Linked DNA regions of Arabidopsis thaliana. The protein of the gene in region 1 interacts with the protein of each later gene in a pairwise test. Each region holds a gene or a part of one and is shown in the gene's direction. Other genes may lie near its edges.

Region 1 (11,870 bases):
GTCTATAATAAGTAAAACAAAATCTTTCTTTCACCCTCATATTTGTTTCTAAACCTTCTCATTCCACAAAATCTTAAAGAGAGACGAAGAAGATGGATTCTGGACTATCATGGGCTGATCAATGGGATTACAACTCTGATCCTCCTCCAAATTCAAGTAACGAAGACGATAAGAAGAAGAAGAAGAAGAAGAAGAAGGAAGATGGAAGCAAAAGCGGTATCGGGAAGGCCATACTTGGATTCAAATGGATGAAACTTGGCAAGAAATCTGATAAGTAATCAATAGGTTATTTGTTTAGTTACAAAAGGGTTATTGATTCATCTGTTCCTTGTGATTAATCCATTAAGTTCTGCTTCTCTCTTTTAACCATTCTTCTGATTGTAATTGTTAAATCTTTAACATTTAGAAAGTTCGTTGGTTGCGGTTGATTGTGTATTTATATTTTTGTTGGTGAGAATTTAATAGCGACCAGGAATTGTGTTTTTGTTTTATTAAAGGTGTATTATAAAATCATTAATCCTATTAGATGAGTACATGTAAAAAAAATCATCCTTTTGAGTTTGTAATACCTAAAATGACAAAGAAAACTTAATGGATCGCTAAACACTCGTAAAAGACGTCTAGGCAATAAACAACGATTCAAAATATCACTATCCTAGTTTACTAAAATCAGCAACATGCAGGATGTACCGACAAGTAACCTCTCACAAAATTCATAAACCATGCCATATAGGCATAGTTTAATCTAATGCCGCGTCACCATCTGGATGCAAACAACAAGCAAAGTGAGATGTTCAAAAGAAAATATCTTTAAAATTGTAATACTCTTTAGCTTTTTGTAAACTACTTTTAACGTAAACGTGAAGAAAAAGTTTGACATTTATTCATACAAAAAAAAAAATATATACAAAAGGTTTGACATTTACATTATTATTTTTTTAATTTAATGTTAAATTAGATTTAAAAGAAAATAGCGTTTTTACAACTAGTGCAACGATAGATTAAAAAACATTGTGTTGAATAACGATTAACAGAAAAAAAAAAGATGTTTGAGATGCTTGGATAATGGATTCATTTTAGAAAAATTGCAATCATAATCTTGAATCTGCAAACAATTAAGGCCAATAAAAATTAGCTATCTAGTCCTAGAAAGGAAAAATGTCCTTTTTGTAAAATCAAAGGACCCCTTAAGGTTTTAAAAGCAATGCAATTCATTATAATTACTATTCTCTGTTTCGATATTTAAGACAAGATTTTTAAGATGAAATAATAACGTTTTGTCTCCTGACGAGTAAGAATCTTGAACTGTTGTTGGTCTCCCCACTAGTAGGAATCTTTAATATGAATGTAATCTATTAATAATAATAAGGATAATGATGATGATGACATGAATTAATGATAAATAATATGACTGGTCTTTTGTGATGCAGGAATATGTAGCTATTCTCACCAAGAATCTTCATTGAAGTTATTTTACAAGCGTGTCATGGTTTATCAGAAAGTGGAGAAAGACTTTGTTCGTAAAAATGGAGAAGAACGTTGAGATCTTATCAAGAGAAATAGTCAAACCGTCTTCTCCAACTCCAGATGATAAGAGAATTCTCAATCTCTCTCTTCTTGATATCCTCAGCTCACCAATGTACACAGGAGCTCTTCTCTTTTACGCAGCTGATCCTCAGAACCTTCTAGGTTTTTCAACAGAGGAGACTTCCTTGAAGCTCAAGAAATCTCTGTCTAAAACCTTACCAATCTTCTACCCTCTTGCCGGAAGAATCATAGGAAGTTTCGTCGAATGTAATGATGAAGGAGCTGTGTTTATAGAAGCTCGAGTTGACCATCTTCTCTCGGAGTTTCTCAAGTGCCCTGTTCCTGAATCATTGGAATTACTCATTCCTGTTGAAGCTAAGTCAAGAGAAGCTGTTACATGGCCTGTGTTGTTAATCCAAGCTAATTTCTTCAGCTGTGGAGGATTGGTTATCACAATCTGCGTTTCTCATAAGATCACTGATGCTACCTCTTTAGCAATGTTCATCAGAGGATGGGCTGAGTCCTCAAGAGGTTTGGGGATTACTTTGATTCCTAGTTTCACCGCTTCTGAAGTCTTTCCTAAACCACTTGATGAGCTTCCTTCAAAACCGATGGATCGCAAAGAAGAGGTTGAAGAGATGAGTTGTGTGACAAAGAGGTTTGTGTTTGATGCTTCGAAGATCAAGAAACTTAGAGCCAAAGCTTCAAGAAACCTTGTGAAGAATCCAACACGTGTTGAAGCCGTCACAGCTCTGTTTTGGAGATGCGTTACTAAGGTTTCAAGATTGAGTTCTCTAACACCAAGAACTTCAGTGCTGCAGATACTAGTGAACCTAAGAGGAAAGGTAGATTCTTTGTGTGAAAACACAATTGGGAATATGCTTTCCCTCATGATTCTCAAGAACGAAGAAGCTGCGATTGAAAGAATTCAAGATGTGGTTGATGAGATAAGGAGGGCAAAGGAAATATTCAGCTTGAACTGCAAGGAGATGTCGAAATCTTCGTCTAGAATTTTTGAGCTTTTGGAAGAGATTGGGAAAGTATATGGAAGAGGAAATGAGATGGATTTGTGGATGAGTAATAGCTGGTGTAAGCTCGGCTTGTACGATGCTGATTTCGGATGGGGAAAGCCGGTTTGGGTGACCGGAAGAGGCACTTCCCATTTCAAGAACTTGATGTTATTGATTGATACCAAAGATGGAGAAGGAATTGAAGCTTGGATCACTCTTACGGAAGAACAAATGTCACTGTTTGAATGTGATCAAGAGCTTCTTGAATCAGCTTCCCTAAATCCCCCTGTTTTAATCTAGACAAGAACAAAACTCATTGCATACTTCTTCCAAGAGATTTATATGAGTTAATTTAAACTTGTGTTGCTTCTTAAATATGAACAAAATAGTATAAAAGAATGCATTAAGTACAAGGGAATGAAATCTGAAAGACAAACTTAAAAGGAAAACAAGCTCAAACTCATTAGAAACGACTAATAGATTACTTGTTTCTCAAGATACAGAGACCATCACACTTGGGTTTGAAGAGACATAGCGAAGCAACTCCTCATCGGCTTCGAATCTAGACATATCGTTCTGGTCAAGGTTGATCCAAGCTTCAATTCCATCACCTTCCTTAGTATCAATGAAAGCTACAAGATTTTTGTAGCTCATTCTTGCAGAGGCAACCCACAAAGGTTTCCCCCATCCGAAATCTGCTTCATACACCGGAAATTTGCAGAGGCTCGTGAAGCTAAACGATACAATCTCTCCATTGACAAAACCTGAAGCTTGTTTGTTTAGAAACTCTAGGTGTCCTCTGTTATCTTCTTGAAGTTTCTTCACGTAAACTGCGTCTATCTTTCTAATCTCCTCTCTCATCTGATCCACAAGAGAAGCCTTTTCTTCATCATTTTCATTGATTATCATCATAGGGACAGTAACAGAGAACCTCATGATGTTCCCGAACATGTTGTCTGGTATATCTGGATCTGCTTGTCTACGCAAGTTCACTGGATGAATCAGTGTATAGATCTTTCCGGTTTTATCATCATGGTTTGTTGAAGCCATGAAACGGCTCCATATGAATACCGATAAGACCTCAACACGTGTCGCGCGGATCTTCTTGTTTCCGCTGAATCTTTCTCTTAAAGACTCAACAGAAGATCTCAAGAACACGAAGCGTCTGGTTACTATGTTCTCCTTCGTGATACCTGTAGCCATGTTTAAGTTTTCTATGTCGCACGGAGGAAACATCTTGGCGAGATCAAAAGAAGGAGTAATGATTTCATCAGTCTGGCCACGAGCAAAAGCTGCCCAACTGTTGACGAAGATGAGACCAGACAGTGCATCACAGAGTTTATGAGAAAGGCCTATTCCGAGTGCTAAGCCGCCACATTCAAAGAAAGTGAGCTGTACCGTGAGAGGCACGTCACTCACTTCATGGAATTCGAATGGATGAAGCTTGTTAAGTTCGTTAGGATTTGGGTTTTCTAGAATCTGTGACATGTTGCAATCGGCTTTGGCTTCGACGAAAGACACACCCACATCGTTGCACACAACAACATCACCCGAGTTCTTGATGCGTCCTGCCAAGGGGTAATAGAGATTCAATATTTCAGACAAAGAACTCTTGATGTGATCACTTCGTTCTTTGTCTGATAGATTAGTCTTGTTATGGTAAAAGAAAAGGAAAGGCATGAAAATGGGAGGAGCAAGCTGATCAAGGAAAGAGAGATGATGATGGCATGGAGGATGATTAAGGTTTCGAGGAGAGGGCTTGACGAGTTCCTGAGAAGTTACCGTGATCTCAAGCCCCATTCTTGTTTTGAAATAACTTATAATAATGATGTATGAGAACTGAGCAGACTCATGCTTCGTCAGTAAGATTATATAAGCTAAAGTTATAAGGAGGTATAGTCCTCTTTAATAACGTGTCATGGTGATTAGACACGGATCAGAATTAGACCCAAGTGAACAAGAAAGTTACAAATTTTATACAAAGATTTGGTTTTGGAGACTTCAGCTGGATTATTTTGTCAACATTATGAAACTTGATATGGGGTTTTGGTTTAACCCAGTTTTATACTAACGTTAGGTGGAAAACTATATCTTCTATTTAGACTTGAACAAGTTAATTTGCCGCAAGTGAGTTAAGCAGCTTCACAGGATACCTTTTCCCTCAAGAAACTCAAGCTTCACAGGATGCCTTTTTCCGCAAGAAACTCTTCTATACAAAATGAGTTTAGGAATAAGTACAAACAAACAAAAATTAAAAACAGGGATTCGGTTCGTCAACAATTATATAGTGATAACATTTTCAAAGTATATATCATCATCATCATTAACTAGTTGGGGTTGGTGGTCGATGGTCCTCAACATCTCCTTTAGTCCTTTAGACTAGTCCTTACCAAAAACGTTTGACTATTCATTTTAGCTAAATTATATATTCCGATAGGCTCGTTTTAATTATACGAAATTATACTTTTGTATTGCCATTCATAACAAATTTTATTTTGTATATATATGTTTGTGGTCGATATAGTCAATGGAACCATTAGGTAGAACTTTAAATCAATAAATGATATTTTTGAATTGAAAATTAGGGTACGAATTATTCCAAATTCCCATTCTTCAACTTAATAAATATGGGCTGTTCATCTACTATGAATTAATATGATCATTACGACCAATAGCAACTAACCAGAATAATACTATAGTATATATTCCCTAGAAACCAATTTTTAATTAGTGGCATTAACATATTCATAAGACAATTAATATTTTTATTTTTATTTATACTATTCAACATTTTTCACAAAAGAAAAAATCCTCCGGGGGGAAAAAACATGCTTTTGGATTAAATATTAAACAAAGAAGGCTCGATCTACAATTTCTAAATCTATATATAGTTAGAAATCATTGTAGCAATAGAGTAAACGTTATTTCTTCATGCTAGCTTCATACGTCATAAATTATGTTGGAGGACACACCATGGTGTTGAATTCATCATTTTCTATATAGCTAGTTGCCAATAAAATTATAATATTCGTTATGGAATTTGAAGGCTGAGAAATATTGTTGCTGGAGAGCGAGTTTAGTTTGTTGTCCACGCGAACAGCAATGATTCAAAACAAAAGTAATAGTTTAACGAAAACGTAGGGTTTTGTTGAGTTATGTATCTCAGCTCTCAACACGATCAACGTCACGTTCAAAACATTACATCTGGATTTGATTATTCCAGGATATTAATTAATTAGGGTTTATCCACTATACTCAATAGAAAACGTACAAACTTCTGAAATGTTTAAAGTACAATTACTATTTAATTAATCTTCTTAATCAATTCTTATTACGTTGACTATTGTGACTCGTGAAAATAGCCCGTGGACTTTGGATGAGGTATTTTACTGCAGCTCATGACATGTTAATAGGACTTATCTAATAGACTAATACTATAGATGTTAGAAACTCTAAATACAAAAGGACTTATCTATAAATATAATCGAACTCAACAATCTCAGTGTAATACCATGAATCAACAATCTTAGCAACCTTTATAACACCATGAATTTAACATTATCATCGTAGTCAATAATAAACGTTTTTTTCTTTTTATACATTAAAAAAAAAAAAATACAATCGTTTAATTAATCAACGAAACGACTGTGTTTTAGTTTCCGTCTAAAATTTAACACCGTTTATTTGCAACATTTGATAGATTATGCATTTAATTTGTTCAAATTTTCAAGATGAAATGTCAATACTTTTGAGTTTATTTTTTTATTTATTTATTTTTTATTAATTTTTTTATACATTTTTATTAATTTTGATTATGGACAAACTAGATTTTTGTAAAATTAACATTGCAATCATGAAAGTGATATTTTCAAAACAAAAGTACATTAGTCTAAAATGATACTGAAATATGAAAAGGATAAAATATGCACTACTAATTTAGTATAGAATCGATAATGAAGAGAGAATCTTCTTCCCTATTCCCTAATTGTGTTCATAATTAGCATAATATAATAAGGAAATAATGTTGGCTCTGACAGGTCACAGATATTGAAGACTTGAACAAAAAAAATACTTTATGAAAGAAGTTGATTAAAGAAACCAATTTGGTAACGGAGACCTGCCAACAGAAAGCATATAATGTTTTATAGATAAGGACAAAAGCTATTTCTCTCTACAAACATTATAACAACAACACTCATCATCATCATCCAATTTCTCATCATTATGATCTTTGAAACAGAACACCAAAATTAAAAAAGTTTGCAAGAACAAAAAAAAAAAAAGAGATAAGATTCTTCTCTCTGTATTTTTGAAAAAAAATATATATAAATTTTTTTCTTGGCTTTCACGAAGTCTCTTTCTCTGGCTGCAAAAATATCATCAATAGCGAAAAGTCGCTTCTTTTTTCTTCTTCCAAAATCTTTAATTTTGTGAAACCGAAGAGATAAGACGTGGAGAAAAGCAGACGTCTCTGTTGTTTGTTTTTGATTCATCGGGTTCTAAGGATTTGTCTGTTTCCAAGACACAAACTTTGGATTCTCTTCTCTTCCTGTTCGTCTTCTCTTGTCTTGATCCTTTTGTTATCATCATCATCTCTTCATCGAGAGAAGAGAGACGAGATTAGGGATTTAAGTTAAGGAGGATGTATTATCAGTTGACCAAGTCTTCTTACAGAGACTCTTTGAAGATTCTGGAGGCTGATATTGAGCACGCCAATGGACTGTGAGTCATCCTCTGATTCTTTCTGGGTTCTTTGATTTTTACTGGGTTTAGGGTCTTTAGTATCGATTGTTATAGTTGGCTTCGATGATTTAGGGTTTAGGGCCCCACAATTTTACATTTTCGGTCGTTATCACGAACTTAGATTATTAAAAATCGAAACTTTGCAGAAATGGTCAAAAAATTGCTAAATTTTGTGGCATGCGTGGTGTGGTCTTGATGCATATGTTGTCTGAAGAAATGGGTTAAATGTGATTAGAAGGATGGTAACTGAATAGTCTCACAATTTGTATATCTGTGGTGTGGTATTGATGCATATGTTGTCTGTGGAAATGGTTTATGTGATTCGAAGGATATAGTAACTGCTTAGTCTCAGAATTGGTATCTGTGTGGTTTGTTCTTCAGGCATATGTTGTCTGAAGGGATGGGTTATGTTAGAAGGATTAGTGTAATGACTGATTACTCTCAAATTTGATTCAGGGCTGCTGAGATTCCAATGGGAAAGAGCGGTGTGCGACTTCAGATGAAATTGGTGTGCAGCAATTTGGCTCCATTCTTCATATTCCTGCTACAATGGATGGATTTCTCATGTCTGCTTCCAAGATATTTTGATTTCTTCCACATACTCATATACAAGGTTGTTACCGCATACATAGATATCGAGTTGTGTGTGTGTGTGTGTGAAATGGTAGATTCCCTGATAGTTTCTCTCCTTTCCTCTTGGCTTGTTTGTTTTATAGGTGTCTTCTTTGTCTTGTACAGGTACGTGCTGATGGGCGGTGGAATCGATCTAGGTACGGAAGGAAAGCTACGATTAGGGAGTTTTACGGTAAGACTAAGCTCTTAATTGTGATTGTGTTTCTTCTACTGTGGGCTTAATCTTATAACTATGGCTCTGGCTAAATGCAGGTGTTATATTACCATCACTTGAGCGACTTCATATCAACTTTGCTGACTTACCGGACGAAAGCTTGTGGTATCCGAATCCAAAAGCCATCACCAAGAAGCAGTATGACATTGAAGGTAGCAGATACATGAATAGCATTGACTTGGAAAGAGAAGACGAATGCGGGATTTGCTTAGAGCCTTGCACCAAAATGGTGTTGCCAAACTGTTGTCATGCCATGTGCATCAAATGTTACCGTAACTGGAACACAAAGTCGGAGTCATGCCCGTTTTGTCGTGGCAGCATCAAGAGAGTGAACTCAGAGGATCTGTGGGTGCTAACTTGCGATGAAGATGTGGTGGATCCAGAGACGGTCACCAAAGAGGATCTTCTTCGGTTCTACCTCCACATCAATAGCCTTCCTAAGGATTATCCAGAAGCGGCCTTCTTAGTCTACAACGAGTACTTGATATGATTTTATCCCGAAACATAAATACGGGTGTACAGAGGGAGAGAGTGATCCCAGACCTTTGATTAAGTGTACATAAGAATCTGGTGATCCATTAATGTTCCTTCGTTTTAGATTATGATTTATGAAGATTGTCATAATCTTAATGTGTACCCCTTTTATTATCAAAGATCAAATGAGAAAGATGATCTTCATGTCTTCTTGCCAACATAAGCATGTTTGAAGATGAGATTTAAAAACTGTTATAAGTAAAATCAATTCCTAGAGATGTTCAATCCGGATAAACCAATGCAAACCGAATCGAACCGAACCAAACCAATTGATTGTGCAATTGTGCTAACTGTTTCAATTTATAAATCCTCAAGTTTCTCTCTCTCTCTCGCAGAACAGAGAGTGGTGAAATCAAGTGAAGAACACTAAGGTTCAACTATGGCGACTCTTCGTTTCACTCTACTTCTTCTTGTCTTCGTCGTCGGGATCTTCTTCTCCTTCTCCTCCGTTTCTCATGTATCTCCATCTCATCTCTTCTCTAAAAACCCAAACTTTTTATATTTTGTGATCCGAACACGATCCGTTTCTTATTTCTTCGTGGCGTCTTTGGTAGGTACGTGCAACAAGTGAAATCAATCTCAGGATCGAACCATTTTCCTCGCCGTTCGCGACGGATCTTGCAAAGCTGCAAACTCAAATTGGGTACAGTAACTTAAAGTCACTTCTTCTCTGTTGATTTTACTAATTTGTTCCTAAATGTGTATTGGAGGATCATAATTAGGGAAATTAAGGCCATTTCTATAAGATTAGATACTCTCTTGATGTGATGATTAAGTTGAATCACTGATTTGGTTAAATTCTATACTCTTAAAGTTGTGACCTTTCCTTTTTTTTTGTTTGGTGTAGCTACAAGTTTAACAACATCAACCTTCTTCGCCGTGCAATGACTCATGCTTCTTTTTCTCAAGAGAACAACAAAGCCTTGAGTATCTTTGGAACCCATATCATTGAAACCGCGGTCTCTCTTCAGTTTCTCGCTAAAGATATCGATATTTCCTCGAAAGCACTGGGCCGTTTGATATCAGAGGTTTCAAATGTGGAGTCCTCATGTGCTCTTGACGGAGACCGGTTGGGTTTGGGGAAGATAATCAGAGTTTCTACTAAGACAGATGCATCGAACTCGGCCATTCTTTGTACTGGCTTTAGGGCAATCTTTGGAGCTATAGCTATTGATGCTGGAACGGTTGATGAAGCCATCAAGGTTTTCTGGAAGGTACATGGAGCTCGAGCTGGAAGACTAGTCTCTATGTTGTAAATTAGAGCTTTATTAAGTCATTAAAGTCATGTTTTTTCGGATGCCAAGTTCTAAGAGACTCTTCTCCAATGCTTAGAATTTTATGGTTGATGTTAACTATTAGCTGCTGTTATGAGGGTGTAAGTGATCATACTATAGTGTTGACTCCAAAACTATCTATTTTTGTTGCAGTACCTGCAGTGACTTAATGACTGAAAACGTTAAAATGACAACAAATCAGTCAATTGCAAAGAATTATGGTGGTATCTCCATAGAAAATGTGAAAGTGGTCCAAAATGTGAGAGATGTGCATGCAGACTTGTGGATCCAACAGTTGTGAAAGATGTTATGTAATCAGAATGTGCAAATGATGCAATAGCGACACATTAGTAATTCGAACTGTTACATGTGTTGCAGTAAGCAAGTCATAGGAAATAGGGATCCCATCATCATTTACTTGTTATTATGTTGAATTTAATTGATATATTTTGTGAATATAGGATTACATATGTATTTAATGCGATATTTTGTTAAGAAGATTTTATGAGAGAATCTGTAATTATATTCTAATTTTTGTCTTACATTTGCAATATATACGTTTGACTAAAATTAAGTGATCCTTAAATTGCACATATTACCATATAAAAGTCACGTGAACAGAAGCAAACGTTTCTTATTGGACGAAACACATCACCCACTTCAATGGCACGACACAACCAAAACATATGTCCAAAAAAAATAAACGATTTTGGGAGAAAACAAAACGCACCGCGTCGGTCGTGCTGCAACGCTTTCTTCTTCTTCTTCTTACCTCGCTAATTTATTACTCACGGATCTCTCTGACTTGAGCCGTTTCACACACTTCCTTTGTTTGCTCCATTTCTCGACTCTCTCTAGAGGTCCCGTCTTTGATTACCGATATTGGCTAATCTCTCTCTCTCTTTAATCCTTCTTCGGTTTCCGAATTCGTGATAGATCTATTGGGGGAAAAAAGGGTTGGGATCGTATTTAGATAATGCACGAGAAGGATGATCTTCCGCAGGATTCTATAGCTGATGGAATTGAGAATGATGACGAGTCTAATGGGCAAGAAGAAGAAGAGCTTGATCCTGACCAGGTGAGATTTCTATTTCACCATGGCTCTGAATCGTTTATGTGGTTTGTGTTTCGTATGCTGAAATTGGGGGGATATATTGGTATTTTGCAGGGAACAGCTTTCGTTGATAGTAAGGAAGATATGTTTGTTGATGCTCCTGAAGAGTTGAATTTTGATACACCTAGCAAGGAAGCTCTTACCACAGATGACGATGATAATGATGACCTTGGAACTCATTTCAATGTCTGTTATTTTTTTTATGATTCTTTTTAAAGTCTAAATTTTTTGTTGAGTTTCCTCGAAAATTTATTGAAAGATCTTTTCTTTTTTTGTTTTCTGCATATAGATTGAGAAGGGGGATTGGGAGAAGGAACTTGCAGGGCTTCAGGAGCAGTTTAAGCTGTTGACTGGTGAGAATGATTTGACAGGTGAAGATGGGAACACTACTGTGGATATTGTCAGTCGCTTCTCGAAGTTCTTAAAAACTGCCAAGGAAGAGCGGATTCAGCATGAGGTTGCACTCAAGGAGCTTCACGGGGTTATTAGTGGGAGGGACGATGAGATTGCTGATCTCACCACAAAAATCTCTGAGCTTTCTTCGTCGCAGCCGGTTTCCGAAATGGGTGATCAGGCACAGAACTTGGAGCACCTTGAGGCTGCAACGGATAGGATTATGGTTTCTCTTAGTAATGTATTTGGGGAAGGGGAGTTGCAGTATGGTTCTTCTATCTCTGAAAAGCTTGCTCATCTGGAGAACCGAGTTTCGTTTTTAGGTGCAAAGTATACTGAGTTTTACTATGGTGCTGATCAGTTAAGGAAGTGTTTGGCTAGTGATGTGTTGGATCTTAGTTTCCAAGAGGATTTTGGTTCAGCTCTTG
Region 2 (12,330 bases), on another chromosome or scaffold:
TACTTTGCAAAAAAAAAAGGAGAATTATTGAATTCAAGCAAAGTTTGGTGATATGTTAAGTTGAAAATTGTGTTTGGACTACTCGAGATTATTTTATTTTATATAAGTCCGATTGGTAACACAAAACTGTACAAAATTTTAGCTGTTAGCTATAACCAAAACTTTTTTTGGAATAGTGCAAAGTTGTACAAAAGAATTATACGAGAAAGCTGTACAGTAAAGTTAAGAGTAAAACTTTTTGTAATGTTTTTGATAAAGTTAATTTTTGCGAATGATAACTCTCAAAATAGTACAAGTTATATCGCTTTGAGAATGTGTTACCATTTAAAACCTATAACATGACAAATATTAAGTGATAGACTTTATAATACTTTTAGATATAGAAAAATTGAGAGATAGAAAATTTCTTCATCCAAAAAGAAAGAGAGAAGTTGGATTCCCAATTTGCGGGATCCCAAAAAAATAAAATCCCCATTAGGCATCATAGTGTGTCCTCACAAGAAGATAGATATCGTGCCATAAATTAGAACTGAGAGTAAGGGGTCTTGGAATCCATCTCTCACTCTCATTCCTCTGTCACTTCCAGAAACCAAACTATTCATCTATCTAAATTGATCTATTTGGCTTAAAGTATCTTAGAGTCATCAAGAGGAAACCCCTTGTCTTTCCAAAAACTTTCTCGATATCATGCTATCACTGACATATTATTGGATATAAGACTTATAAGTCTAATACCCAATTATTGTAGTTTGTGTAGTTGATTGATGTCAAAGTTCATATGGTTTCAAATTTATTGGTAAATATTATGATTGATATCCTTTTTTTGATTTTAAAAATCACCATTTATATATTTTTCAACAACCGTTAAGCAAAAATTTTAAACCAATCTGCGGTAGTTCTTGTAGGCATTTTTCAAGTTTTTTTTAGTGTAGTTTCTTAAAGATACTAAAATTTAATTTATCGTGTCTAGTTTAAATTTGTGTAATTAATGTTCGCTATCTTTCTTTAAAAAAACAAGCACCTTAACATATATATGTGTCTATAACAAAGTAAGTTTGAGTACATAATATTGCATGCAAATATATGCGGCAAAACTAAAAAGTAATAAACGGCAAATGAAAAAAAAAGCTGCTTTAATTCAAATAATTAAATATTCGGAGTGACTCACTTTCTTTTTCCCCAGGGACTTCTTACCTATAAATATAACACCTCACCACACCCATTGTTTCATTCATCTTTCCAGCTTTCTTCACTTTTTCCTTTATATAAAGTTAGAAAAACAAAAAAAACAAAATAGTTAGAAAAAATCTGAGAGAAACAGAAGAAACATAAAAAAAATGAGGCCATTGAGCATTAAACCAACATCGTTAGATGTAGCTAGACATGCCACATCAGTAGAATCATTTGGGAATCACCGACCGCCGATATCGCCGTGGCACTCACCGGTGCCGTACCTATTCGGTGGTCTTGCGGCGATGTTAGGCCTCATAGCCTTCGCTTTACTTATCCTAGCCTGCTCTTACTGGCGCTTGTCAACCTCCGGTGATGACTCCGGCGAAAGAGTCGACGAGGAAAAAGAGAGTCGGTCTGGAGTGAAGGCGGCTAGCGCGGCGTGCGAGGAGAAGGTTCTTGTCATAATGGCCGGAGATGACTTGCCGAGGTTTCTGGCCACGCCGGCGGCGAACAAATGCATGTGCGGTCACGAGGGTAGAATGGTAATTTTCAAGGAGGATGGTATTGGTGCTGGAGAGGAGAAAATGGGAGACAGAGAGAAAGCCAAAGAAAATGAAGAAACAACGAGTCAGTGAGCTTTTTTGTTTTCTTTTCTTCTCTCAGTCTTGTCTTTTTTTTTTTGTTGGGGAATTTTCCTTCGTGTTTTCACGGGAAATGTAAAATTTACTGAGAGAAAATTTTGGGTTATGATTAATGAATGTTTGCTTGTAATTTCCTATCCCCAATGGTGGAAAACTCGTTTTTAGTTTTTGTAATTCTCAAAAGTGTGATAGGTAACCTTTCTCATACAGCTTTAATACCAATCAGTAATAGAGTAAACTAAAACGGAATAACATAATAGTACTTAAAATTCTTACAATTTTATGTCATCACTAAGATCTACAAAAAAATGAATCATAGTATCATAACACTATGTTTGCCCAAAAAAAAAAAAAAAAGTATCATAACACTATTGATCATAAATTCAAAGCTTGCAATGTTTCGATGGAAACGTGATTCATCCCGTACACAAACTGTAATTTTATATACATTTTCAGAAACTAATGTAATGCATTAACCCTTTTGTATTACGTATATATTCTCACATTTTATATTTTGTAAGGAGATTCGTTTAGTTACTTTAATTATGAATTGTTATAATTGTGTCTCCTCCATGTATTTGTGTTACTTTCATATTTTCCTTGCATTTATATATTTTATTTACCATAGGATAGTTCTGAATTTGCTATCAACTTGGATATTTTAAATTAATTGAGACTCCATCTAGTTCACCGTCAAATTTTAACTATACTTGTTTAACTATACTTGTTATATAACGAGTGAATAAACTGGAAATAGTATTACTATTAACTATGAACTTACATTCGTAATATTCGAAAATATGTGCGTGAGTTAGTCTTGTCACAAGAAAAGGAATCATATTCTTTTTTTCATTAAACAAAAATTGGAAACACATATTATGGTATAAATCAAAAGATAATTCGATTACTTGCCCCATTTGCCTGCTTTACTTTCAATTTGATAATATCCCATCAACAAGAGTCTTGTTACATGACCAAATTTTCTTCTGTTCTCACGTTATTAAGTATTTTGAAGTGAAGTGCACTCCAAACAAACGTCTAAAACTTAAGGTTTGTATAATCCTCAATCAAAAACATTTTACAACTTATTTCTATTTTTTTATATTGGGGTCTTTTTCCCAGCTACTAATATACGATCACTTAAGTAATTTTTTGTAAAAATCATTAAAAATCCTAATAAACTCATTTGCGTAGTTCAATTACACACATACATATGTAGTAATATAAATATTATTTTCCGTTTTAAATTATCGTAAATGGAATGTCATTTAGAATTTTAATTTTATTCACCACAAATGTTTTTTTCTGTTTTAATATATTTGTTTGTTAAAATTTATATTTTCGTCGCTAATTAGTCCACTGAAATTATAATCCACAGGCTAGATAATCCACTGATTTCAACAAAGGTGAAAAAATTATATAACTAATATTTGTCCATTAGTAGTAGCTAATTAATTGAAAACGTTTGTTCTCTGAATCGAAAGAGCTGCATAAGAGAAAGGGGACACGTGTCAAAAACAGAGTTTAATATGAAAGCGAAGACAATGATTCTGTTTTGACTTATTTGTCATTTGCTGAGCTGTCTTTAGAGGCGCCGAGTAGCCGCGTCTCCCGCAAGAAAGTTCCAAAGCAATACTTCTTCTTTCATTGCATTCATTTCCCCAACTGTCTCAAACTTTGTGCCGCATAAGCAAAAGGTACAAATAAAATAATAATAAAAATAAAGGATGGCGAAAACAAAATTACTTGTATCAAACAAGAACATTTTGTTAATTTTTCCGAGTGAAAACATCACTTGATATGGATATGCGATTTTAGTTGTTGTAAGTTTCTCTAGCATAATTGATAATTCCTATTAACATCAATTTTGATATAGCATTAGGACTTCAATGTTTTTATTTTTAGGGTTTGTTCTTTTTGACTTCATTAGTCTAGTGGTACTTTAAGACCACTTTTTCACCTCACACATGGATGATCCAGACCTAGTCAAGCTAGGAGTGACTTTTATGTTTATATAATTTATACATGTTAAATTATTTTAGTTTTCTTTTTTAAAGGAGATGAATTTAATTCGGTGTGGATCCCGTCTCTAGAAAATATAGGGTCTTTGGGCTTGAACTTCCAAATATTCGAATAACAAAAAAAATTATTTTAGTTTTTAACCCAAAAAGAAAACATTTGCGATCAAATGTTATTGTAAACAACGCACACTAAAAAGACATTTACCCTTTTCGGTGAAGAGACACAGGGACAGCTACATGCGACCCAAAAAATGAGCTTACCCTCTATTTCACATATGTAAGAATATACTCTAATTAGACTCAGCATGTAGTATAAAGAAGGTGTTGACAAAAAAGCTCAAATAATTCGATAAACTAACAATGCACGGGTACTAATTAACAAGGAATTCTCATAAAATTGAAGGTAAATTTAAACAACAATAAGAGCATCCCAATTAGGTAAGAGATTTAGTTAAGTAATTGCGATCAAGGAAACAAGTACAACAGAAGTGGAAGTCTGTCTCTATATCACTTTCTTCCCTGATGCATAAACTTACCTCTTGTTCACAAACTTTGTTAACATTTTGATAATGCAATGAAATGAAATTAGAAATTCAAAACAAAAATAGAGAAAAGTACAACCAGTGGACTATAGTCCAATTAGTCAACCAAAGTAACAATGGGCCGAGCTGATAATATTTAGGCCCAAAAAAAGCCTCTGGACGAATCAGAGACACTGGAAATGAACGTTCTTCTTCGCACTAACTCTCAAAGAAGAAGAAAAGATCTGAGAGGTGGTCGAATGATCCAAGAGAAGAAGAACAATCTCTCTTAGATCGTTTGATCTGATCCAATCGAAGAAGAAGATGGGAATCTTATTCACGCGGATGTTCTCTTCCGTCTTTGGTAACAAAGAAGCTCGAATCCTCGTCCTCGGTCTCGACAATGCTGGAAAAACCACAATCCTCTGTAAATTCACTGCCTCAATCTTTCGCATTGTGTAATAGATTTGATATTTAGTAGCTAGGGTTTTTGATTCGATCGTTTTTTGAGTTGCGTTGATGTTTTTGATTCTCTGTGATTCCAGATCGGCTTCAGATGGGGGAAGTTGTCTCTACGATTCCGAGTATGTATCTAATCTCTCGATTATTGTATAGATTATGGATCTAGTTTATGTATCGTGATTTTACGAATTTTGGTTTTGATCTGATCTTTGCAGCTATTGGATTTAACGTTGAGACTGTGCAGTACAACAATATCAAGTTTCAGGTCTGGGATTTAGGTATGTTTTCGAAGAATGTGTTCGAACGCATTAAACTTTGAATTTGAAGTAGTAGAAATGATTTTTGGTATTATATGGAAGGGATATTCGAAATCTACAACACTATATAAGCATTAGATTAATCCAAATCAAACCATTTTCTGATGGATTCAGTTAGAGATTCTCTGCGTTCTTCTTTCTAAGTTGACTAGCTCCATGGTAGTAGATCTTCAGTGTCACTTTTGTATAATTGGAATGTTTGTCTTTTGTATGAATTAACGAATTCATGATCAGAATTTTCCTTGATTTGGAGTCCTTAGATAAGTTGTTGTCGTATGTGTCGTTATATTCGACTTTCTTGTTCCAAGTTATTACCTTTTCCAACTGGTCTTGATGAGATAGATGAAGTTCTTTGTATTCAAATTTGGGTGATAAAGAGTTCTGTATTATCACATCTTCTTCCTATAGTTTTTATTATTATTATTGTTTTGCACGTGTTGTATGTACATCTGTCTTGTTAGTTATATGCGAATGCTTTTGCATTTTACAAAATTGGTTCAGCGACACAGTACATTAACAAGAACTTTCCTATGACAGGTGGACAAACAAGCATCAGGTAGCTTAATGACCTCGTTTCTCATTTCTAGATATGATGAACATATTGCATCTACTGTGAAGGAATGAAGAACAGAAATGCTCCATCAAGATTATACTGTTTTTGTTTTGCCCAATTTTCTAATGGTATTTTTGACAGGCCATACTGGCGATGCTATTTCCCGAATACACAAGCAGTGATCTATGTTGTTGACTCGAGTGATACAGATAGAATCGGGGTGGCGAAAGAGGAGTTTCATGCAATTTTAGAGGTAAAGTACTGCTGAGGCTTCCTCTTCTTATACTGTTGTATTATTTTGTGATGGACTTCTTGCATCCAAAAGTAATTGAGGTAAAACGATGATGATGTATATCGGTAGTTGAATGGAAATACAATATTGGTTCAGTTTCTTGTTTAGGACTTGTTATAGATGCTTGTAAGTTGTATATCAAGTATTGTTAGCCTTCTAATAGGTGATACTGAAATTGAAGTATCTCGGTTAGTACTGGACGGAAAGAACAAGTGATCATTTCTCTCTGTAGATCTTGCTAGCTAATCTTAAACTCTCAGCAACAATGCTTACTTGAGTTTACCTCTGCCACTGTCAGCATTTAACTCGCACTATCTTTTCAACTATGTTTTATAGGAAGATGAATTGAAAGGTGCGGTGGTTCTGATATTTGCAAACAAGCAGGTTAGTAGTCTCTAAATGTTTGCTCTTCCGATTAGTTTGGGCTGATTCATCTGGAAATCTGTATTGGTTTCTGTTGCTAAAAAGCTTTAGTTTGTTTTGCATGCACAAGACACTTTTTTGCTGATGAAAAATCTATAACTATTTGGTCTGAGTTTCATTAAATCGACTTAATTTAGGATCTTCCCGGTGCACTCGATGATGCGGCTGTTACAGAAGCCTTGGAGTTGCATAAGATAAAGAGTCGTCAATGGGCAATCTTCAAAACTTGTGCTGTGAAAGGCGAGGGACTTTTCGAGGGATTGGACTGGTAAGCACATTCTGAAACCGAACCATTTTCTTGGTCCCATTATTGAAACACTGAACCCATTTCTTTATGCATTTCTTCTCAAATATTCTTCTCTCATTTCCATCTTGATCTTCAGGTTGAGTAATACATTGAAGTCGGGAAGTGGCTAAAATCATCGTCATACACCAATCTGTCACATTTCTCAAGAGTGTAACTTTGATCATTTTTACTTATTGGTTTGTTTAGTATCTTTTTTTTATCTTAGTTCTTCATCTTAAAGAGTTAATATCAATGACATGTTCACTTAATATTCTCTTTTTGTTGTTTTGTTTCATTCTGAAAGAAAAAACCCAACACAGATTTTTGATTGAGACCCATAAGGGGTAATATCATCACTTTTTAACATGAAATATTGAACTGATTCCAGACGAAACACTGAATTGGTTCCAAGTGGTGTTTTTGCCGACTTGGATTCAGAAGCTCAAACGTTTGGGGTTTTAGAAGTCCTAATTTATGTAATTTGTCTGCTCCTTAATTAATGATAAAATTGTTGACACTATTATGCCATTTAGTAGATAGTAAGATTTTTTTTTAATGTTTTCAAAGAGGCAAAAATAATTTGCAAGGAATATATAGAACTAGCAAGATACTAGCCTAAGCTATTTGATTAACTTTCCTGCTAATAATGCTAGTATGCTACCAAAACAAAACACAAGCGATTTGTGAAGCTCTTTCTTAAAGAGTCCGGCTCGGCGTTTAGAGAATGTAACTTGACGGTGGCTCTCTTTCTTGATCTTACCATAGAATCTTTTATATGGCGGGTGTTGAGCAAATTAACTTAAACAAATTTGTTTTATTATCGTAACTCAATAAAAATTACGATTTCTAGTCATAAACAAAAGGCTGTACATAGCATTAGGCCTGCTACGGATCCGGATATCCGGGTTTTTTGGAGTATCTGGATCCGTATCCGTATCCGGCGGATATGTAGTTTTAGGATCCGCATCCGGATCCGTAAACCTCGGATATCCGGATTTCGAATATCCATGAAAAAACCGGATATCCGCGGATATTCGAGATCCGTTTATTTTTGGGAACAAATTCAATTTCCTATTTCACCAACCAGATTGAATTCACCACCAAAAGAGATCGACGTGTGCCCGACATCAGACTTTGCAAGGCACATACCACCAAGATCTCGTCTTTAACGGTGTCCAATCTGCTCCTCCTCATTCATCTCCGCCATCGACACTTTGAATCCCATGTATCATCATTCCCGTAAGTAAACTTCCGTCCATAAATTTACGACGGTGGAACCGAGATGAATATGGTGGGGAGACGGTGATGAAGATTACATGGAGATGAGATGGAGATAGTGAAGGAAATGGTGATGAAGGAAACATTCACGGCGGCAGAAAAAATATGTTATGAAACCCTAATAGTTAAGTCCCAAACAAACTCAAATTCCATCATTTTGTCGTAGTGGGCTAATATTGGACTATTGGGCTTAACATTGATAATGTGTATTTGATTAAGCCCAGGATACAAATATAACTTAAGCCCATAATACAAATATGTAGACATATTGAACGGATGCGGATATTCGGCTCTGATTTTTTTCATAATCTGGATCCGTATCCGGATCCGCCGGACTCGTATCCAGATCCGCCGGACTCGTATCCAGATCCGCCGGACTCGTATCCGGATCCGTCGCACCTAATTATTCGGTTTTCCGGATCGGATCACGGATCCGGATTCGAATACCCGCGGATAACGGATTTTAGTCCCAGGCCTACATAGCATCTACGGTAATTATTAACTATTAAGTAACCATGGGTAAATTCGAATTTCCTTGCCGACAAAAAGAAGGAACTTTCCATTCCTTTTGTGAAAGTCCGTGAGAACATGAACCCAAGTTAATACACCTTCACATGATTAGCCCCACTTCTCCTAAATGTCTCGTAAACTCCAACTATTCGGCTAAGATTCACTAACGTGTCATCTCTCTATTCGCTATTCCCAGATCTCCATGACCCACTTCACTCCCTGCGCGTCCGGTACAATCGCCACTTCCATAACACCAAGAGTCAATACAAAAAAAAAGCCGACTCCATTATTATCCCTCTCTCTACAAAAAAAACAGTAGAGAGAGATATAGAGAGCATCAATGGCGTCGTCGTCAAGACTTTGCGATTCGTGCAAATCGACGGCAGCAACTCTATTCTGCCGCGCAGACGCCGCGTTTCTCTGCGGCGACTGCGACGGTAAGATCCACACAGCTAACAAACTCGCATCACGTCACGAACGAGTTTGGCTATGTGAAGTATGCGAACAAGCACCAGCACACGTCACGTGCAAAGCTGACGCCGCTGCGTTATGCGTCACGTGCGACCGTGATATCCACTCAGCTAATCCACTCTCTCGCCGCCACGAGCGCGTACCAATCACTCCTTTCTACGACGCTGTAGGTCCAGCAAAATCCGCTTCCTCCTCCGTCAATTTCGTAGATGAAGATGGCGGTGACGTCACTGCTTCGTGGCTTTTAGCTAAAGAAGGAATCGAAATCACTAATTTGTTCTCCGATCTTGATTATCCGAAGATTGAGGTAACGTCGGAGGAGAATAGCTCCGGTAACGACGGAGTTGTTCCTGTGCAGAATAAGTTGTTTCTTAACGAAGATTACTTCAATTTCGATCTCTCTGCTTCCAAAATTTCTCAACAAGGATTCAATTTCATCAACCAAACTGTACGAATCTCTCTCTATCTTCTTAAGCTTCCATGGATCTGGAAAATTTTCAGATCTAGATCTGAAAGTTTGGATCTGATTTGAGTTTGTGAAATGTTGTTAGGTTTCGACGAGAACGATAGATGTACCGTTGGTGCCTGAAAGTGGAGGAGTGACGGCGGAGATGACGAACACGGAGACGCCAGCTGTGCAGTTATCACCGGCGGAGAGGGAAGCAAGGGTTTTGAGGTATAGAGAGAAGAGGAAGAATCGGAAATTTGAGAAGACGATTAGGTATGCGTCGCGTAAAGCTTACGCTGAGATGAGGCCGAGAATCAAAGGACGTTTTGCTAAGAGAACAGATTCGAGAGAGAATGATGGTGGAGACGTCGGAGTTTATGGCGGATTCGGTGTTGTTCCGAGTTTCTGATATTTTCCGGTGAAAGAAACATGGTAGTAGTATATCGGTTAATAGCAGATTAAGGATAATTAAAACTAAAATGTTTCCTGATTTAATCAGGGGCTAAGTTATTGTTAGAAGATTGTTGTTTTTTGAATTAATTCTCACAATTGTATCCTAAATTATATAGTTTACTTAATGTTGAACTAATAAATTTTGATTTACAATCTCTGTAAGAAATCGATATGCAAAAATAAATGAGTTGAGCTATTAAGATTAACATTCATATAGAACACAAACTCATACAATCAGCTGTGGTGGTGTCCGAGACTGCAAAATTCAAGAGGCGATGGAGGCCAACGTTGATGGTGAACGAGGCCAGATTCGAGAAGCAAAAACTTGTCACGCGGTTGAAGAGAAAGAGCATTTAAAGAAGAGGTGGTTGTGGGTTTCGATACCGTTAGAGCAAAGCACACAAGCTGCAGAGATATTCAGTCCCCAACTTATGAGCCTGTCTTTCTTAAGCAATCTACCTTTCAATGCAAGCTAAGTGATGAAAGAATACCTTGGCACTGCATTCTTGAACCAAACAACCTTATTCCAAGGAATCAAAGTAGAATGTGCTCGTAATTGCTCTCAAGTTTCCTTAGAAGAGAAAAATTGTGCAAAGAAACCAAACATTAAGATATTTAGTTATTAATGAAAATTCAAACATGAGAAAAAACTTAATCAAACGAAAGCAACACAAAAGAAGAAGAAATCTACATATTCTAAAATAACAAACCACTAATTCTCTTTTAGTAAATGGTATAACCTTGAAGGAGAACCCTTTCAAGTATTAGATAATCTAATCATTTTTCGTCGTCATTACTCATAAAGTGTCGAAATATCACTTCATATCAATTGGTTTGCGTAAAACTGACCATACGTCTTCAATGATTGTCATATCAAATGATTCGAAAAGTGTTGGCATATGCATACTCTAGTTTTCATAATGAATCGATTCTCAGACTCTTAGCAAACAAAGGAACATAACATCATCATAATAAAATTTTGAATGAAGTCAGAAACCGCAAATCAAAACTGTGAAGATATGAACTTGATAAGCAAGTTTAAAGCTAACTCAAGTTAATATAAGTTGAACTTGGGTTGAGTTAAATGCTTTTGGATCATAAAGGAGGGTGTCCACGATGTTGCAAGGGCTGGCACAAGTTAGGACAGTCTTCTCATCTTGTGTTTCAAGCAGCCACGTTTGGCGTTTCAAGATGCAACCTTTAAGGTTTACTTTAGCACAAGAAGCTCTAGTTTTATTATCACTATCAATTCACAACAATGTTATTGTGGCCCAGCAGTTAAGTCTCTGTTCCACTTAAGCTTTGACTTATAACTCTTGTAGTCACCTTCTTCTTCATAGTGGAAAGATGTGGATCGAAAGAAAGATCATAACCGGACGTAGCGGTTCGTTAATACCGTGAACCAGGTGAACAAATATTTGTGTGCTTCTCTCTTCTTCTCCCTTTCTTCTACTCTGTTATTTCCTCTTATTCTTCTCCATACTTTGCGTGATATGTTTTTCGTGAGTTGGTGTCAATGACAAAGAGCTGAAAGCTAGAGCCTTTGAGAGGTTAAAAACTTTATGTAATATTGTGACGACAAGATCTAAAAATATATGCGGGGATCAACTTAATATTTTTAAAATAAGTATATACATAAGAGATAAAACTAAGTATGCCATTATTTTAAAATTTAAATTTATCATGATATATTGTAATTAACAGTTTAAGTAATGGTAGCAATGTCCAAATGAATTGTGAACTGTCGGGATCAATGACATTGAAATTCTACAATTCATTGAAATATTATTGAGATAATATTATTCTTTGTGTCAATAGGAGGAGAAAAATATATCACCATTTTCGGATGTCAACCAACCGATTTTGACATTCAAAACATATTGTACAAAATATGCTATTACTAATAAAATTCAGTATAAATTTATCATTTTATTTGGTAGCAATTTCTACATAAAATCTGAACTTCCGAGATAAATGGCTTCAAAATTCTCAACCATATGGAATTTTTTTTTTTTTTTTTTGTGACATTAGGTGAAACTAAACCAAAATATATGAAAATAATTTCCTACATTTTATAAATTGAATTTTTTTTTTCTTCTAATTAACTGAATTGAGAAGGGGTTTTCAAGAGATGACAAGTACTACTCTTGTAAACAGAGAAGAAATACTCAAAGTTATATTCTCATTCTTAACCTTCTCATTACATAGCTTTATCTATTTATATGAAAAGCTAAGGGATACAATGGTTGAACTAGAGTTTTAGTAAATGTTTTGATGAATGACAAGTGTCTTCATCTGCACATGGCTGGAGATTCAAGGACTGTGAAGCTATTCTTCAATTGGAGTGTAGCGTGAGCTGGAGTCGACATTTTGACAGTACGAAGCTGAGTACATGACGACGATGCTCTGTTACCGTTAAAGTCTGAAGAAGCTTTTACACTCGTCTTGGGCTTTGTTTGCATAGTTAGGTCTATTACAATT

The links.
Region 2: the proteins of AT1G24440 (region 1) and ARF3 interact in a protein complementation assay, tested with the Arabidopsis thaliana proteins (one large-scale study listed by BioGRID).

Annotation. Positions count from the first base shown.
Region 1 is NC_003070.9:8,655,161-8,667,030, forward strand, and holds AT1G24440 (RING/U-box superfamily protein), read left to right. Parts: upstream 1-6,677; 5' UTR 6,678-7,179; coding exon 7,180-7,259; exon of another isoform or gene 7,260-7,522; intron 7,523-7,736; coding exon 7,737-7,893; intron 7,894-8,018; coding exon 8,019-8,085; intron 8,086-8,165; coding exon 8,166-8,617; 3' UTR 8,618-8,847; downstream 8,848-11,870. Other genes in the region: AT1G24405 (uncharacterized protein), read left to right, coding at 93-278; AT1G24420 (HXXXD-type acyl-transferase family protein), read left to right, coding at 1,527-2,837; AT1G24430 (HXXXD-type acyl-transferase family protein), read right to left, coding at 3,030-4,337; NFD2 (Ribonuclease III family protein), read left to right, coding at 9,041-9,118, 9,216-9,304, 9,509-9,917; TNO1 (TGN-related, localized SYP41 interacting protein), read left to right, coding at 10,912-11,013, 11,104-11,235, 11,339-11,870.
Region 2 is NC_003071.7:10,558,142-10,570,471, forward strand, and holds ARF3 (ADP-ribosylation factor 3), read left to right. Parts: upstream 1-4,546; 5' UTR 4,547-4,680; coding exon 4,681-4,783; intron 4,784-4,901; coding exon 4,902-4,940; intron 4,941-5,033; coding exon 5,034-5,096; intron 5,097-5,672; coding exon 5,673-5,691; intron 5,692-5,829; coding exon 5,830-5,941; intron 5,942-6,316; coding exon 6,317-6,364; intron 6,365-6,540; coding exon 6,541-6,671; intron 6,672-6,786; coding exon 6,787-6,820; 3' UTR 6,821-7,155; downstream 7,156-12,330. Other genes in the region: GDU4 (glutamine dumper 4), read left to right, coding at 1,338-1,808; AT2G24780 (uncharacterized protein), read right to left, coding at 7,540-7,698; COL3 (CONSTANS-like 3), read left to right, coding at 8,818-9,396, 9,500-9,805. UniProt on the Arabidopsis thaliana protein: GTP-binding protein involved in protein trafficking; may modulate vesicle budding and uncoating within the Golgi apparatus.